Arabidopsis thaliana: one gene and its partner. The protein of the gene in region 1 interacts with the protein of each later gene in a pairwise test. Each region holds a gene or a part of one and is shown in the gene's direction. Other genes may lie near its edges.

What was found.
Region 2: the proteins of AT2G35430 (region 1) and AT5G01160 interact in binary tests that used the Arabidopsis thaliana proteins (3 or more experiments, as listed by UniProt).

Annotation. Positions count from the first base shown.
Region 1 is NC_003071.7:14,899,956-14,904,271, reverse strand, and holds AT2G35430 (Zinc finger C-x8-C-x5-C-x3-H type family protein), read left to right. Parts: upstream 1-1,886; 5' UTR 1,887-2,014; coding exon 2,015-2,528; intron 2,529-3,013; coding exon 3,014-3,258; 3' UTR 3,259-3,568; downstream 3,569-4,316. Other genes in the region: AT2G35450 (catalytic/ hydrolase), read left to right, coding at 47-100, 177-254, 343-440, 535-592, 683-804, 915-1,071; AT2G35420 (RING/U-box superfamily protein), read left to right, coding at 3,793-4,316.
Region 2 is NC_003076.8:51,972-56,691, forward strand, and holds AT5G01160 (RING/U-box superfamily protein), read left to right. Parts: upstream 1-1,884; 5' UTR 1,885-2,225; exon of another isoform or gene 2,226-2,303; 5' UTR 2,304-2,308; coding exon 2,309-2,563; intron 2,564-2,685; coding exon 2,686-2,744; intron 2,745-2,987; coding exon 2,988-3,756; 3' UTR 3,757-4,081; downstream 4,082-4,720. Other genes in the region: AT5G01150 (hypothetical protein (DUF674)), read left to right, coding at 17-652, 737-1,468, 1,541-1,678. UniProt on the Arabidopsis thaliana protein: Probable E3 ubiquitin-protein ligase which is a subunit of the N6-methyltransferase complex, a multiprotein complex that mediates N6-methyladenosine (m6A) methylation at the 5'-[AG]GAC-3' consensus sites of some mRNAs.

The DNA of each region.
Region 1 (4,316 bases):
TATATATGCATCTCATTTCTGAGAGTACTTAAATCTTTTTTTGTAGAGTAATTATCGTGCTGTTCGGTTTAATCCCTACTTGTGGCCATCGGGTCAGAAGGTAACAGTTTAACCATTCCAATGACCTTAGATCAAGTTTCCACCGTATTCTGTTGATTGTCAATGACTCAACACAGATGACAAATGCTGTTGGTAAAGCCTTGTTCTCTAAAGCAGGGGAGCTTTGTGTGCCTGTTGGCTTCATGTGCATGAAGGTCTGGTAGTATTTTCACCTTTGTGGTCTCCAAAGTTGTGTGGTTTACGCGAAGTTCTTTCGTTAAGAATCTTGTTTTCTTTATTCAGGGTCTAGATCTTCACATTGCAGAAATTGAGGAACTTTGCACAGAATTTCCAAAGACAACTGTTTTACTAGATCACGCTGGATTCTGCAAAGTACCAGAGTGAGCTGTTCTTTGCTTTTTGTGAAAAATAATCCCGTCCCCTGAAATTCCTATAGAATGTAGTACTAATATTCATGGTTTCAACAACCTGCAGAAGTGGTGAGGCAAAGCTTGCTTATTCTCAACTCATGAAGCTGTCTAGATTTCCACAGGTGAAAAAGAAAAAAAAATTACTTTTAGAATCTGAATTCTCATAGATTATAGATTATACGAGTCTGAGGGAAGAATATTGTAACAAGCAGGTATATGTGAAATTCAGTGCTCTATTCAGGATCTCAAGAACCGGCTTCCCGTATCAGGACCTATCGCCTCTCCTATCTCAACTTGTGTCCCATTTTGGGGCAAATCGTGTCATGTGGGGCAGGTAAACATACTTATTTACCTCGCTTTCCCGACTAAAAACCACAAAAAACCTTCTATATCTACTAACAATACATGATCATATACGGATTGGCTGTTTTCCATCTGCTGCAGTGACTTCCCATTTGTTGTTCTTGAATGTGGATATAAAGAAGCTAAAGAAGCTGTGACTATCATTGCAAAAGAAGCATCCTTGTCAAGTTCTGAGATGGACTGGATTCTGGGAAAGACTCTGATGCAGCTCTTCCCTGGACAATGGGTTCTTCCTTGAGAGGCTTGTCAGAAGTAATAGGTTGCATGCGGATGAGATAATGAAGCAAGCAATGGAAGTTGTATCATTAAAGATACTTAACTCTAGCCTATATATTACCAAACACTAGATGTATACCAATTTAGTAAATCAACAAAAATCTTATGTGTTGATATCATAATGATTCATCGTGAGATGATGGAGGGCCTGGATGTTGATGTGCTCTGATCGAAAATTTCTTCCACAATGGGTGAGCTGCTAGGATCCCCTTTCCGTGTTCAATGAGGTGAGGTGATAATTTATAATCATCGGTGGCTTTGCTGGGACATTTATGAGGGATAAGTTTCAAGAATCAAGCTTCTCTCCAGTAGCTTGTTTTACAAGTAAGTAAGAGTTGGCGTCTCCGGTTATAATTTATACCCGTGTAAGTTAGTTTCATCTATTTACGAAATCGCCATGATGGAGTATCGAGTTGTGCAAGTGATAGCAATGTGGAATTCAAAGAGACAATTGAGTTTTCTTTGAGAATTGAAAGAAGTGGTGATCGAGATTAGTCAGCATTGTAAAACTTGTTTGGGTTGGATTCTTGAAATGTACAAGCGCGGTTTCATATGGTAGAATCGATTCAGAGAGTGTGAAGTGAATTTACACAACTTGCTAAACTAGTAGAGCAAGTGAAGCTCTTAAAAATAGAAATCCTCTCTGCCTAACAACTTTTGTTTTACTCGTCTTAATTATCAACATTAGTTAAACTTCTTTCTTTTATTTAATCTGTGACCATTATTGATTTTATAGCTAATCACATTTTGATCCTTATATAAATGCTACTACTAGTACGATTTTGAGTGGCTTTACTCTACTTTACTTTCCACTTCCTCTTCATCTACTCTTTCTCTCTCTATCTCTTTCCACTTCCTCTTGCTTTTACTCCTGGGTTAGGGTTTAGGGTTTCTTGGTCGACGTGATGAGTCATCGGCGAGATTACGGCAGTGATGCAGTTCACGTGAGAATCACCCACGACCCTCCGCCTGAGAATTGTTTTCCAAATTCCGGCGACAGTTCCGTCTGGGCCACTGAGGATGATTACAGCCGTGTCTGGGCCATAAACTCTGATGGCGCAGAGTCTCCGAGCAAGAAGACACGATCTTCCTCCTCCTCCGAGATCGGGAAATCGTTCTTCAAGACGAAGCTTTGCTTCAAATTCCGCGCCGGAACTTGTCCCTACTCCGCGAGCTCTTGCCACTTTGCTCACAGCGCGGAGGAGCTCCGTCTTCCTCCGCCGCCGCCGCCCAATTGGCAGGAGACGGTGACAGAGGCTTCAAGAAACAGAGAAAGCTTTGCGGTTAGTTTAGGCCCTCGTGGCAATGTTGCTCAGACTCTCAAGTCTCCGAATTGGAAGACAAGGATTTGCAATAAGTGGCAGACTACTGGCTATTGTCCTTTTGGTTCTCACTGCCATTTTGCTCATGGACCTTCAGGTAAAGCTACGGCCTTTTTCATCTATTAGTAACCCCAACGAATGTAGTTTAGAAATGGGTTTTAATCGGTGTTGCTTGATGAACTGTGAGTTTAGAGTGTCACTAGAGGTTAATGGATGCTAATTCTCTGGACTAAGAGATCATCTTTGAACACTAGAACTATCTTTATTAGCTTAAGTTAAGTCTGTTGAATTGTATATGTAATGGTATTGGTTTCCTTGAGGATTCTTTATATGGACTGTGGGTGCCAATTAGTTAATCGTGCTTGGTGAATGGATTGGTGACAATGTCTATTAATGGACTTAAAGTGGATCGAGTGAGATTGTTGAAATGTTTCCTATTGCTACATTGCCATTACGTGATGATGTCAATTGGTTTCTGATTGGAAAGAATTCTTGATCTGCTTGTTCCTAATGGCTATGGAAATGCAGAAAGTTTCAATCGTCGCTAGCTAAAAGTTTGAGTCTTTATGGTATCTTTTGCAGAGTTGCATACATTTGGCGGAGGACTCGTTGAAGGAGAATGTAAGATCGGAACATCCGCCACTTTGGACACAAAGCAGAGAGGACAAGTAGACACAGTGACTAGCCTTGTTTCTCCTGGAGTCTCATCCCAACGGACATCTAGTGCTGTTACGCAGAAACCCAACGGAGTCAGAACTCAACGGAAATGGAAAGGACCAGATAAAATCAGTCGTGTTTATGGTGATTGGATCGACGATATTGAGTAAAGTCACTGCATTTTCACTGATTTGTTGATCAAGGTATAGCTTCTTTTAGACTTGTAACTGTGTGGACATATTAGCTTCCTCCCTTCTGTGGTTGTAGATTGTGACTCACTCAACAAAGACAAAAACTCTCATCTTTTTGTTTATTCTCTTTGTCAATCCTAAATCTAATCTTGCAGAAGATCAAACCGAACTAAATAATGTTGCGTACTTGTAAACCGGATCATCATTGCTACCTAAACCTTTTTCTTTATTTCCATGGTCAATATTAATTTTTCGTTTTGAGTTATTTTTAACAGTAAAATGATTTATTATTAAGACAACGATTTTAACTGTCACAAAAGACTCGCTCAAAATGGTAAGCAAAGCCACTTCTGTCTCTCAGACATAGCCACTTTATTCTCCTCATTTCTCTCTATTAACTTGAACAATAATACTCCTTTTCTCACAAGGATTTGTAAGAACAACCTTTCTTATATCCCAAGCAATCTACGAAACTGGTAGAATCTGGGGGTTTCTCTAATCATCAACCTTCAAATGTCGTCAACAACATCAATAGATTCAATACCAGCTACTGCTGTTTTCCCTAGTGTTTCCATGCCTGTCACCGTAGTTTTGACCGGTGTTCTTCTCTTTGTAATTTTCGCCGGATTCTTCTCTCTTTTCTTATGGCAGTTTCTTCTGAATCGATTATTTACTACTTGGAACCTTCAACGAACACCTTACGGTGACCTAATCCATGTGGCCACTCCGCCTGAAAATACTGGCCTCGACCCGTTTATCATCCGGTCCTTTCCTGTATTCCACTATTCATCTGCAACTAAGAAAAATCATGGGACGGAATGCGCTATTTGCTTGTCAGAGTTTTCAGATGAAGATACAGTTAGGCTCATAACGGTTTGTCGTCATCCCTTTCATTCAAATTGCATTGATCTTTGGTTTGAGTTACACAAGACTTGTCCTGTTTGCCGGTGTGAGTTAGATCCTGGCATGATTGGATCTGGAAGGCTTGAATCATTCCACAACACAGTCACAATTACTATTCAGGACATAAACCATGA
Region 2 (4,720 bases), on another chromosome or scaffold:
TTCATCTATTACGCTAATGGCTAAAAGTAGTGAGGAGCCTAAGTTTTCTTTGAGACTTATTGTTGATGAAGAGAAAAACAAGGTTGTTTTGGCTGAAGCTTGTAGGGATTTTGTTGATGTACTCTTCAGCCTTCTGACACTTCCAATGGGAACCATTGTCAGATTGCTTGAGAATCATCGAAAATCTGAGCCAGTAACTCTGGGCTGTTTTAACAATCTCTATAGAAGTGTTGTGGACATGGGCAGTGATTGTTTTGAGACTGAAGCTTGTAAGCAGATGCTTGTGTATCCGAAGAGTGTGAAAGACCTCCAGTGCAAAAGGCTTAAGCTCAACATAAACCCTACTGAGGACATCAAGTGTTTTAAGTGCTCAAGTTACTGCGGCTTGTACAGTAATTTCAGCACCTCTAAATGTCGTTGCGGAAAATTTATGAACGAGGAGATTCAGTTAGAAAACGAGGAACAAGATTTAGGCCGGTTTCAAGATGATGATAATGGAGTATTTGTCAGCGGTAGGTGTTCATTCGTCTTAACCGATGACTTGGAAGTGTCAGTCAAGTCCACTGAACTTGTCTTGAATAAGCTCAAATCCTTAGGTTGTGCTGATGTTGGTAAGCTCGGTGAAAGGCTTCTTGATATTGGTGTGAAAGAGGTATGTTAGTTAGTTTATTCTTCAAGCGTTTGTGTTATCATTACTTTATTAGTTCTCTCTTACTATATCTGAATCTTGGACTAGGTACTGACTCTGCTGGGATGTATATTCTCCTCAAATGCTCCCTTAAAGGACATTTTCTTGAACAAGAAGATTACACAAGGTGCGACGAAGTTTTACAAATCGCAAAGTCCATGTTTGGAGAAAAAAGAAGATGAAGCAGAACCTGAAAAGGTAGTAACTTTGAAAGCATTTGTGAGGAAGCAGGACATGAAGATTTTATTTGTTGAATGCGGAGAGGAATTTGTTGAGCTTCTTTTCTCTTTTATTGCTGTCCCGCTTGAATCTGCATGGGAAATCTCTGGCAGCAGTATCTCCTTAGGTTGCATAGGAAACATGTGTAGAACCTTCAGGGACTTAAATGAGGAGACTCAAATGTCAACTTCCACATGCGCACTTCCGTCTTTCTATAATTTCCAGATGCAACTGCCTGGTATTATCACTCAACAACCTCCGGTGTACTACCGTTACAGGCTCTACGATTACAGGCAAATGAACTATGGTTTGACTACAAACGGTAATCGAACTACTTATTACCGCAAAGACAGAATCGTTCGGGTGGATTTGAAGGATCCCAAATCCCGTGGCAGCGATAAGTCTGCTCAGGGGTTCTTGAAGAAAGCGACAAAGTGTACTGTATTAGATGATCTGACCATTACATCTATGAACTCCTGCTCCACAGTTTGTTTACTAAAGAAGTTGCAGAGTCACGCAGACGATCTAGAGGTGCAAGTAATTAGTATCAGCAATGCAGAGGTATGTTTCTGTATACCCTTTTTGATCCTGTATTCTTGAAAGGAACTTGACTGACACTTGATTTTGAATTAGGCTTTGGATTTGTTGAGAGCTTCCTTGGTGACATCCTCTGCTTTGAGCACGACATTATGGAATTTGATTGCTAAGAAACTGAAGGAGGAGACTGATTTATGGGACACGGTTTCAAAGAAAGTGAAGGAAGAGACTTGAAGAAATAGAAAGCTAGTGAGAATGAACTCTAAGTCGATTGTTGATTATGTTTTTAGAATTCCGCAAAATCTACATTACATTCCTCATGTTTTCTTCCAAGCCTTATCTTTCTTTGTAAGACTAATCAAATTATTGTTTTATGGAAATTCATCTTAATAGGGTTTTTTAAATGCAGGCAAAAACTTGCACATCTTTTTGAGTTTATAAAGCAACAAGCCTAAAATCTGGAATTTCCTAGTACGATAAGACTGAAATATACAACCATTACCAAAAAAAATGCATCCATATACAAAAGTTTATAATAAGATCCAGTTGGTATATAGTAATTGGGAATGTTGAAGACATATGAAGTGTTGATCAGAAAAAAATAAGACTTGAAGTTAATTAATGGAAACCCTCTTTCTCAGCCAGAAGACTTGAAGGCTTCTATTCTCCTCCGTTGCCCACAAAAACAAAATTTGCTTCGCCGTTTTCGGCTCCGGCGTGATTCTTGAGAAGAACTGAAGTAGAGAGAGAGATCTGAAATCTCAATCTCCGATTTAACTTGGTAACTAGAGAAGCTTTTGATTCCTATTCTTTCTTTTGATTTGTATTTCTTAGGGTTCCGTTCATGTAACTTTTACAGCGACAATGCTTCAAATTCGTCTTCGGAGGGATTCCCCGACGGAAACTGGAAATGGTGCGAGGCCTTCTCCGACGGAGACGGTTACTGTAGCCTGTCCCGACCATCTCGTCCTCGCCGATCTTCCTGTTGCGAAAGGAATCGGTTCCGTGACTCCCACCACCGTAATCAAGCCCGTCGGTCGTCGTTCTCGCCGTCAGCTAGGCGAGAGAGTTCACTTCTGCGTTCGTTGCGATTTTCCGATTGCAATCTATGGTCGTCTGGTAAAAAACTTCGCTTCCTTCATTGGTTTATGGCTATATTGATTTGCCTTAAAGAGTTTTTTTAAGGGGGCTCTTCTTCTATATGTGATTGAAACTTTTTTTGTTTTGTTTTGGTTTTGCAGATTCCTTGTGATCATGCCTTTTGCCTTGAATGTGCTCGCAGTGATTCCATCTGCTATCTGTAACCATCTTTAACTCTCATCGAATTTCATTAGAAGCTTTGATAGAGATACTTTAGATTGTTTGGTAATCTACAGAGACGCAGGATTATCATAGTTTGAACTAGGCTTCGAATTTCATTAGAAGCTTTGATAGAGATATTCTAGATTGTTTAGTAATCTACAGAGACATTTTAAGATTTACTAGGCGTAGCGATTATCAGACTGAAATCTTGTTGTCTCTTGTGTGTGTGATTACTGCACAGATGTGATGAGCGGATTCAGAAGATTCAAACAATCAAGATGATGGAAGGGATCTTCATCTGTGCAGCTCCTCATTGTCTTAGGTCTTTCCTGAAGAAACTTGACTTTGAAGCCCATGTCCATGACCTCCATGGAAGCCTATTACAAGCCGATGCAGAGAAAGAAGATGGTAACCAGTCAGATGTTCAGAGCACAATGCAGCAGTCTTCAGCTTCAGAATCCACCTTGCGAGCTCCTTTAAGATCCCAGCTGCAACAATCCCGTGAACTAAACAGGTCGGCGTCATTTGCAAAGTCACAGTCTGGATTTAGTCAAGTCCAGAATTACCCTCCAGATAGCGATAACTCTCGCCCTCCTGGATTCGAAACCGCTAGTCCTAAACCAGGAATCCGGTTCCCAGACTACCCCCAGCCTATGAATCTTATGCAACCGCCCAGCTTGCCCGTTCCAATGAATCAAAACCCGGGTTTACCACAGCAGTTTGGTTTTCCTTCGTATCCAACAACAGAGAGTGGATCATCTCAACAATTCTTTAACGGTGCTCAGTACGAGATGACAAGAACAGAGAGCGGCGGATCAGAACAAAGTTCATTGCTCGGGTATCCCCCGCCTTCACCAATGACGAATCTGAATTTCCAAGGATCGTATCCTCCTCCATCATGGAATCCCGGAATGGCACCGCCTCACACGACCCAGCAGGTTAACCGGGGTAGAGACGGTCAAAGTTTTGGGTGGCCACAAGAGAACCGTGATGGCTTTGGGCAGGAGTAAGAGTAGTCTAGTTTGAATTTGTGCAATGTTAAACTCGTCGTTTGAAAGTTTCAAGTACTTTTGTTTCTAAAAACTGTGTCGTTTGTTGTTGGTCTAACATGTAATTCGAGTAAACCCAATTTCAACCGAGCCAAAACCGTGCCAAAAATTCCATCGGAAAAACCAAACTGATTTGGGTTGAACCAAAGGTTTTACACCATTTTATAGGAACAACCATCGTAGATTGCACCCACTGTGTCACTGTGATAAAGAAAGAACTAAGATTGATATTTTGGTTTTTAGCTCTTTTTCTTTACTGTTTTGGGAGGATGATGATGATGGTTATTATATGAGTTGAGATTTTTTCTAAACACCGCCGATGATCTCACTAATCTTAGGCACAGCTATGCTTACAGACAATATTTCACAGTCTCTTTATTGGGATTCCTTCACTCTACATATGTATTCACTATTCAGCACCAAGTTCAAATTTCTGTAAGCATTTATTCTCTAGCATAAACACACACGAAAATATACTATTAGCTAGTTAAGTATAAAATTATCAAATAACTTATTCATATTTGTTAGTTTTAAACTAGAAATCATGTGAATTGAACTGAACCAGTTATTGATAAGTGTGTGGCTATGAGAAATTTCGTTTCAAATGGATTCTCCAATTATGAACCATAATGATACATAACAATATTTGCAAGACACCATTATTTCACATTATGAGAATAGAAGAAAACTGAGATCTAAGACACTTTTTCCCATGTTTTCTATGAATTATTACGATCCCCATATAAATTTTCAAAATGTAAAAGCTATAATCATTGTCGTAATTTTCATGATTAATCACACCAATCATTATGACCAACCAAAGAGAATGTAAATGTAGGATATAGTTCATTTTCTTTTCTTTTTTTTTTTTTACGACAAAATAAGGTCATTCATTTAAGCTAAAAGCGGGCGGTTTTCTTCTAGA